Drosophila melanogaster: one gene and its partner. The protein of the gene in region 1 purifies or fractionates together with the protein of each later gene. This does not show direct contact. Each region holds a gene or a part of one and is shown on either strand. Other genes may lie near its edges.

The links.
Region 2: the proteins of CG33172 (region 1) and Trm7-34 purify together in Drosophila melanogaster (affinity purification with western blotting, with the first as the bait; one study listed by BioGRID). This does not show direct contact.

Annotation. Positions count from the first base shown.
Region 1 is NC_004354.4:15,768,059-15,773,800, reverse strand, and holds CG33172 (uncharacterized protein), read right to left. Parts: upstream 4,138-5,742; 5' UTR 4,091-4,137; coding exon 4,033-4,090; intron 3,979-4,032; coding exon 3,247-3,978; intron 3,184-3,246; coding exon 977-3,183; 3' UTR 816-976; downstream 1-815. Other genes in the region: CG43672 (uncharacterized protein), read right to left, coding at 1-472, 546-808; Polr3A (RNA polymerase III subunit A), read right to left, coding at 4,429-4,641, 4,711-5,742. UniProt on the Drosophila melanogaster protein: Together with methyltransferase Trm7-34, methylates the 2'-O-ribose of nucleotides at position 34 of the anticodon loop of substrate tRNAs.
Region 2 is NT_033777.3:21,132,234-21,135,988, forward strand, and holds Trm7-34 (tRNA methyltransferase 7-34), read right to left. Parts: upstream 1,649-3,755; 5' UTR 1,593-1,648; coding exon 1,472-1,592; intron 1,417-1,471; coding exon 767-1,416; intron 712-766; coding exon 520-711; 3' UTR 501-519; downstream 1-500. Other genes in the region: Ice2 (uncharacterized protein), read left to right, coding at 1-265; Usp8 (ubiquitin specific protease 8), read left to right, coding at 2,178-2,272, 2,336-2,824, 2,884-3,046, 3,102-3,584, 3,640-3,755. UniProt on the Drosophila melanogaster protein: Methylates the 2'-O-ribose of nucleotides at position 34 of the tRNA anticodon loop of substrate tRNAs. May require WDR6 for methylation of the nucleotide at position 34 of the anticodon loop of substrate tRNAs. Plays a role in neurogenesis.

The DNA of each region.
Region 1 (5,742 bases):
CATCACGACTTTGGGTAACTTTTCCACCTTGGAAGCCGTAGCTCTCAGGAACTGCATGCTGATGTGGTACTGCAGCGGCACGAAACCCTCGCCCATGTAGTCCGTGTAGCCATCCTCGTCGAACTCGTCTTCCTCGGCGACATCACGATCCATCAGCGTAGTGGTTTCCTTCCAGCTGTCCCCAATCCAAGTGTCCTCGTAGTTGCGCAACTCCGACGGCATGATTATGGCAAAGTTCAGCACGGTGGGCAGACCATTTAGTGACTCATCCACATTCCGGAAGCAGACACTTGCCAAATAATGTTCGGAGGCGGCGTGGATGCGCATATCATTGCAATTCTCAAAGTCGACAATCTTATCTTCGGACATGGAAAGTTTACCCAGGGCATCGCCCATCAGCCGTCGCAGTGCAGCATTTGAGTTGGGTGCGAATGCCACTCGAATATCCGGAATGAATACGTTTGTTGTAAAACTACAAGTGGCGGAAATGAAGTGAATGATATGAGCCATTTCAATATCTAAGATATTAGTACGGTTCTACTTACTTTCGCTGCTTACTTGCCATTTTGGCGCGTCTCTCTTGGATTTTGCCAATGAGTGAGCTCCAGCTGAACTCCAAAAGTTCGGCTTCTGCTCGTATCGAGTAGTCTCTCATATTTGAATCACTCGATGAGCGAATGAATAGCAGAAAAAGGGACGACATCACAGGCAAAACAAGCGACAGAATTAAGACTAGCTTGTTGTGTTTTTGTTTTTGAAAGTTCTTCCAAACCAGCAAGCAAAAGACATGGCAAATTTGGCAAGGCATTTGAATAGGCTCTACATTCACATTTATTTAAAAACAAATACAAAAATTGCCGCCACTAAAGTTACATCTAAACAAATGACAGATAAGGCAGTTTCACTTTTCTATTATTAAACACTAGACAACATAACAAATGTACAAAAGTGCCAATGATACACGAAGGATATTCTCTTAAAGTATATTACTTATGCTCATAGTCTGCAATCCACATCCGTAGAAATACATTCGCTGATGTTCATCCAGGAGCATTCCTTTCACGTCTGCTATGCACGTATAACCAACTCGCTTATATTTATGAGTACTGAGATCTATTCTATAAATCTGACGATCTATGCTGCAGGTATAGGCGAACAATTCGGATGCTGCGACACTTTTGGTAGGACAATGTATTGCCAGGGCATTAACTTGGGCATTGTGAAGACCCAAGTACTCGATTTTTTGTTCTACATTATTGTTATTTAAATTGAGTACCGTGTACTTAATGCTTTCATCATCCCCGCCGGATAGAATGTGTAAAAGATGCCTATCCACATATATATCAATGGTATTTATACCAGTTACGTGCAATTGAAGCTGAAAATATGTCGTTTCTAGGGTACGATCAAAACCGTAGACTTCGCCATTTGTTGTGGATACCAACAGCATTCCCTTGCTCGCAATCCACTGAATGCCCAGTGGACATCTTTGTATGTCTACAAAATGTTTTAGGTCTAGTTGGTTGGGGGTTTCAAGCTCCCATATATAGTGACTTATATTTCCATCACCGCCTGCAACATATATTGAAAAGAGATCCCCATCCGAATGCTGGACAACATCTATGGCCATTAGTCGCGCTTCAATGGTACTCGTTTTGGATGCGGCCACGTTGTGCAGCGTGTGGCTGGATATTTCACTTATCCAGCATTTATTGCTCGCATCTATGCTAAGTTGGCTAATGCACAATTGCGATCGTCCGCCGACGGAGAAAACAAGCCAAGTACTTGAGTCGCCGCCATTCGATTTGTATGGAATCGCCTGCAAACTTCGCACTGTTGAGATATGGGAGTGCATTTCCGCACGCTGAGACAATGAGTCATTGGTCACTTGGGTGACTTTTATGATATTATCATCGCCAGCGGAAAGGATAAAGGGATCGGATTGATTTCTCGGCGTAATGAGTCGAAGGGTATTGCAATTTCGTACGTGCCAGTTATTGGGTTCGATATCCTTAAGCCGATTGTCAACGGCATTGTAGAGCGAGTTGCGATAGAAGTACACACGCTTTTGCTTCACATACGCAATGGAAAGTTGACTATCACCATCACTCAGTCGAAAGTCCCAGCAACGATGGCCTCCGCCGCAGGCCAATTGCAAGAGGATATCATTTCGTCGGGACCAGGCCACAATGTGATTGTCGTTGAAGCCCAAAATCAAGTCATCCGATGGAGATGCTTCGACCCAAGCCAATGGAATGCCCTCACGTTGGCTAACACGTAGTGTTGAGTCAGAGAATCTCACACTAAGGTATTTTAAAAATGCCTCATGACCACCACTCATCACATGCGCATTGTCCGCATTAAGACTGAGCAACTTAAAAAAGTTCGAGCCCATTTTACCGTGTAAATACCGAATTGAGTCCTTCAATTGGAAGTCGTCGCTGGCACTGCTGCGGCAGTAGAGCATCACATGTCCCTCGCGGTTGCCCAATAATAGATATTGCTCTGAAATGAGCAGGGCCGCAGTTATCCACGGCTCGCGGTTATTGAATAGTGCGATGTGCGACTCTATATGCAGCTGGTGGGTTTGCAGTAGCAGACAGTAGCCCAAGTTATCGGACACTAGATAGCGATCTCTGCTTAGGAATTGAAATGACCGTATAGTGCCCTTCATCCTAATGCCATCGAATAGTTGTTCAAAATCATTTGTATTTGTGTTATACCTATGCAGTGTTATGCGCCGATGTCCACAGGTGGCTATAATGTCATCAAATACTTCCAAAACAGTGCGTTTGTACGACGGAAAGTCATTGACCATGAGCCACTTGTTCTCATGCGAAGAATCCGGGGATATTCGGGTGTAATACAAGCGGTTTAAGCTACTCAAACCCACAATTATCTCATTATTGACAAACTTTAGATTTCGCACGAACTCATTTGCATCGCCTAGACTGCTCAATATGGTGGATTCAATTTTGGGTCGATTGAGGACTTCTTTAAGATTTTGCCCGACCAAATTACCCGTTGAACTGGTGCTATAGAGGATTTCCGCGTCTTGGCTGAAGCCTAGCCTCCAAATTGGCGCGCCGAACTGCTGACGACGCTTTAGGATTAATTCGCCAGATGAACTCCAGATGCAGACGTACGAATCCTCACCGCCGCTGGCCACAAATGTACGGTCATCTGCAATGGCAAGGATAGTTATAAAAAATTAGGAAAGATAGTCATATTTCAAGCAAATCTTACCGATTTTAAGTATAACAACGCACATAACACGCGAACTGTGTCCGTAACAACTGAACATGGGCTTTATTTCAGCTGTTGTCCAGTCGCCAGACTTTTGTATATTCCAAAACTTGACCGAACGATCATCCGATGTGGTAACCAATAACTGCGACTGCAAGTCAAACTCAATTGAGTGTATCACTCCATTGTGCGCTTCAATGCGCAAGAGCAAGGGATATGTTTTCATTACAGATTTTGGATCGGATTCTGTGGGAAACTGCGTTTGCCATACCAAAAGTTCTCCAAAGGCATTACCGCTTATGATGGCCAGTTTATTAAAGGAACTCCCATGGAGTTTCGTGTAATAGAGTATGGAACTGTCGGTGCATCGAGCCAGCTCCAAGACAGTGCAATCTGCATTCGACGTTAGATCATATTCCATATAAAGGAGAGCACTGTGCGATGTGTGAAGAACAAATCGTTTGCGATCCTCCGACTCGTTTTCATCTTCCAAAAACAGAGCGGCATTAATCCAATCTCTGGTTTCGCCCTCGTAAACGAGCTGAAAGAGATCGTTTTCGGAGCTGGTTGTACACCTAATCAGGGAGTATTCGTTCTCGCTATATAGCAATAATAATCTTTGCGATTTACGCAAGGAACTCCACGCAAATCCTCGAACCTTTCCCTCACGCAGTTGAACCGGCAACTCGACTTTGGGTTCTGAGCTATATAACACCGCCTGATCGCCATGACCTGTGTATATGATGTTTATTAGAGGGCGTTGCAAGGTTTTGGCAATATACATACCAACCAGGATCCCGTTTGGGGATATTTCCAGACCGAATGCGTCAGAAATCAAAACCATAATTTAATAACAACACGTTGTTTTGATAAACTCAAGCGTTCAGTGTGACCATGTCGTGGCAATTTGAACATAAGCAAATGTGGAACGGCGGAATGTGAACTGCGCGGTTAATTCAAATTTGAATATACTACTAATAATAATATTTTCGTTATTTGCATCAGCAATTTTAAATCGAATTTAATCAAAGCTCCAAAATATAAGAAATACCATCTTTAATTTCCGCAGCTAAGTACAATCTAGGTAAATTTGCTTAACATAGCTAGACAGAACAAATATGTATATACTATTTATTTACAATAATGAAGTTATAAAAGTATAACGTCAAGAAGGCCCGCTTCTTATGTGGTTTTGCTTGGCAACAGATTCAGGGAACTGCAGATGGTGGGCTCAATAGGTGGCACCTGCTTGTCCTCGTGCTGTTGTAGCAACTTGAAGATGCCAGTGCCAATGCACGCTGGCATTCCCAGGATAATGCGCTCCGAAACGCCATTGATGGCATCCGTCTGGCCATAGTAAGCTGCATCAAACAAGTGGTCCGCCGTCTTCTCAAACTGACGTGGCAAAAAAGAAATACATTAATATACATACGTACGGCTTAGCATAGTGAAATCTCTTCTTACCGATGCCAAATTGAAGACACTCTCACGCATTTTGGCCAAGCCGTGTCGCGTGATACCCAACACCTCGCCACGCGCCGTCATTTGGCTGGCCAGGAGCATGATGTGGCGCCAATCGACGCTCATACCGTGTCCCTCCATCACCTCGGTGATCTCGCTCATAATGATGGTTCGGGCAGCTTCGATGCCCAGCGTCTGATAGATTTCGCAAATGTTGTTACTCCTGGTGCGTTTGCCCACCACACCGTACGTGGCGATGACATCGCGAAGTCCATAGCCCTCAATGCACAGCTTATACGTGGGCGGCTGCCGTGCATCATCGACAGCAATAACTGCTCGATTGATATTTGGCAGGCCCGCCACTACGACGTTCTGCAGACTGAGTGCCAGGCGCGCCAACTCTGCATTTATGGTCGACGTTCGCGTGGCTTCCACACGAACCACAATGCGCGATTGGCTGGCAACAACCTCCACCTGCGTCGGCTTGACGCGCATGCGCGACTTCAGAATGCTAAATACAATTGTGTCCAGATCAATGTGTAGGCCGAGTAGCTTAATTCTGGCCATATCGACACCGATCGCCAGGTAGCAGCTGTATGGTCCGCATACGACTTCAACGTACGAGGACAACTCCGCCAAAGTGGTTTTCTCAATGCGCGCCTTGACTTGTCGCGCAAACTCCATGCTATGGCAATTCTCCAGCTCGGCAGTTATGATTGGCGTCGATATGGTTTTCGTCGCATTTATAATCTCAACAATACGTGGTACACCCTGGGTGATGTTCATCGATGCGACACCAGCGAAATGGAAAGTCTTAAGCGTCATCTGGGTGCCCGGCTCGCCAATACTCTGCGCAGCAATGGCACCCACCGCTGTGCCAGGCTCGGTAACAGCTCGATTGTATCGATCATTTATACGGCGCACAAACTGCAGCAGCTGCTCGGTAGTGAGGCACTCAATCTGGTGGCACAGGTCGATACACTTCTCGTAGCGTTTCTGCAATTGCCCAATGCGCTTGGACACTGTGTTGATGTG
Region 2 (3,755 bases), on another chromosome or scaffold:
GCACGAGGAGCTCCATCTACTGCCCTGTGCATTTCCAGCAAAAGCCAACGGTCGCTCTGTCCAGCGTCGAAAGGTGGTGGTGCCCATACCAGAGCCCTCCAGACAAGCTCCAGTAAGACGGCAACGTTTAAAAAAGTGGAGCGAAGCCCAAACTCGAGAATTTCGACGTCGATGTAAGGTGGATCAAAAGAAAAGAGCTCGGGCTCGCAAGACAGCAGCGGCCAACAAAGAAAAAATAGAGCTGGAGAAGATTATGACGTTGTAAAAACCGCACTCTGATTGCATAAGTTGATTACTATTAGGGATGTAGTTACTAACTGTTACAAAACCAAAAGGTGATCCCCATAGTGGAGTTAACCGCTCGGCGTAAGGATAAGAGTTAAGTTTATATTGTTATGTATCGGAATAATAAAAATTGAACGCGGTGCTTGTGGCGCGAGCAACAAAGTTTTGATACATTTTGAGATGCACCAGAATTTACACTCATATTCATAACTTTTCATTTTTTAAAGCTTTTATTTACGTTACACAGGCACCTAACTTCTCAGACTTATTCTCATCATTCTCTAGCCATTTCTTCAACATTTCCTCATCGTGAATAACGCGAATGCCTTCATATTTTATGTTCACTTGGCTCGTTTTCTGCAGAATGTCCTGATAGGCGGCCGTCAAGGGTTGCTGCACTGGCTCTTTATACACATAGTTCTCGCCCTAAAACAAAACATTTTAGTGGTTTAAACCAAACGAAGATATAGTATTAACATACCAAATCGTATGTGCGATCCGAGTCCAACTCGCCCTTGTAGGCAACAAAGGGAACTTGAACCACGGGCGGGCTCTCCTTCTTTCTGCCCACCCACGACTCGGGTTGATCGTGCCATTCGGTCGTCAGGTTGCAAGGCTTGTAGCCATCGGGCAGACAAAACTCTCGGGCCACCACGAAGGCTTCAATGCTGGAGTTGCGCGAGGCGGAGGGCTTGAACACGCATACGTTCTTAAAGAACCGCTTGAGCTGAGTGTACAACCGACTGGTCCTGTCTGCCCGGTAGATCTTGGACACGAAGGAGCCTCCCTCTTCCAGTATGAAGGTGGATATGCTGAGGGCGGAGAGAAGTAGTTCGCCCTGAACGTACGAGTCAAAGTCGTGCATTCCAGTAGAATCGGGAGCGCCATCGCTAACAACAATCTGTGCCTTCTCGCCGCCAAAGAACTCAATTATGGCCTCGGCTGTCGACTCCTTGCTGATGTCCGCCCGCAGTTGTTTGACTCCTTCGATCGGAGCCATTCCCTGCAGGTCTACGGCGATGATCTTTACCTTTTCCCGTTCCTCTGGCGGCAGAGGCTCGTACAAGCGTTTGGCCAGCACCTGTGACCAGCTGCCAGGAGCGGCGCAAAGGTCCACGGCTCGGGTGAGACCTGAAATAAGTGGACAATTAGAATCGCTCCGAAAAACACGCGGTTGGATCTGCACCTTCTAGCAACTGAAAGGTCTCATCCGCCTGGAGCAGTTTGAAAGCACTTCGTGCACGCCATCCCTGCTCCTTGGCCAGGCGGTAGAATATGTCTCGTTTATCCTTCGAAGTCCTGCCCATTTAAAAATAATAAAAACAAAAGGGTATCAGCTGTGATACGACATCTACAGTGCTGTCGTTTTAGCCGTTTTCCCTTCAACTTTGGGAGTTTATTGGTATTAAAAACATTAAAAAGTTTGCAAGTGTGAGCTCGAATTTATAGTTTTAAAATATATATCATTCATTTTGTGTTAAAATATAATTTTATATTTAAATGGTAGATTAGGAAAAAGAATCAATTTTGTTTCCAAATCCATAGAAATAGCTACAAAATGTAGTTTAGCTTTAATCTTCATAATATTGAGTTACATATTCATTATATTTGAATTTGTTTATTTGAAATAAAACACGTACAGCTAAAATACATATCTAGTTGGATTTTCAATATTAATAGCTAAATGGCTAAATTTGCACAATCTAAATTTGCACTTCTGACAGCGCCATCCTATTTCTTTGTTATCGATAAATTTCATGCAAAATAACAAATGATTGTGTTGTTGCAGCCCAGCCCGCAGATTGAGAAATTCCTGCTATGAGAACAGGAAAATCGGCGAGATCCCGATTCCCAAATTCAACGTAGCCCGCCCCGACAACAAAAAACGAATAATGGCCAAGTTGAAGAAACTGCATATGAGCTCCAACCTTGATGACCTGGAGAAGATGTCCATCATTCCGGATCTGCGCAGCAAGGGCATGAAAATGTAAGTGGACACCGCGATTTGGTGCTGATGCGGCTGTTTTGATTTACCTGGCATTCTTCGCAGCCTACTGAACACCGCCCGCAAACTGTACATGACCGCCGAGGAGTACAGACTGGATGGCGACGAGGAACTGGCCTACATCACCTACATGAAGTACTTCAATATGCTGACCGCAATTCACAAAAAATCCGATTACCCCAGCCACAAGACGACGGTGCGCCAGATGCTGGGCGACACCGAGTCGAATCGCCGCATTATGGACACGCTGGAGGAGATTATCAACTCTCTGCGGCATCGTTATGCTCAGCAGCACCAAGCGCCGGAACCAATTGCTCCCGACCTGGTTAGCAATGGGCGTGCGGGTGTGGACTCGCCGATAACACAGCCAACGCAGTACGCCCGACTTGGGCTGATAACCTGTCAGGATCTGTATCGGCGCATGCAGGAGAAATCGGTCCTAGTTATGGACTGTCGCCCAAGCGCCGACTACGAGGCCTCCCACCTCACGTACTACTGTGCATTTAATGTGCCCGAGGAGTTGATAACGCCAGGGTGAGTTGTCCATTATAATAATCTCGCTATTTGGATACTAACTTATTGGATTTACACAGAATGTCGGCTGGCAGATTGCAGGCTCGTCTTAGCAGCAGCGCCAAGGCGTCGTGGGCATCGCGTTCCGTCAAGGATTCGGTGGTTCTTATGGACTGGAACACCAAAGATGCCCAACCGGCGACCAACACAGCCATTTCAACCCTTCTGGACATCCTGAAGAACGTGAGTATGGGTGGTATTTAGCCATAGATTACATATAATCATTATTTTCTGGTAGTGGGATCCGGATGTGACGTATCGCGCACCCATTCAAATTGTCGAGGGCGGTTATGAGTACTTCATTATGATGTACCCGACCCATTGCACTAATCCCAGTGTGCAGGCGCCGCAGCAGAACAACAACGACATTGAGACCATCGATGATATCGAGTATCCCTCAATCCACGACATCACCATGAAGGAGGATATTAGTGCGAAGGACTTCAGACCGCGTCCAGACTTCAATCGGGCCAACAAGCCAGCGGCCACTCGCGTTAATGAACAGGGAATTTCCCGTCCTTCTCCGCCGGCTAAGCCCATTGCTGAGATCATGCGTGATCAGGCCGAGTTTTTGCAGCGCGCAGAGCAGAACGATGAGCAGTTGGAGAAGGCCTCAAAAATGTGGAAGCGTCAAGCAGCAGAGGGCGATGGTTTGAATGCTACCGAGGACCAGGAGTTGCACTTCAGGATCCTACAGTTGGAGAGCAAGGCCCAGGACTATGTAAGATCTATAAATTACCTTATAAGGTTCGATTAATTGTTCGTTTGTGTCGTAGATCGTGGAAAACAATCGTCTGCGAGAAGAACTAAGTCGCATACAAGAGCTACACAATGTTACGCAGCAGTTGTCGCAAAAGGAGGTCGAGGCAACGAGGAATATAGAATCCAAGAT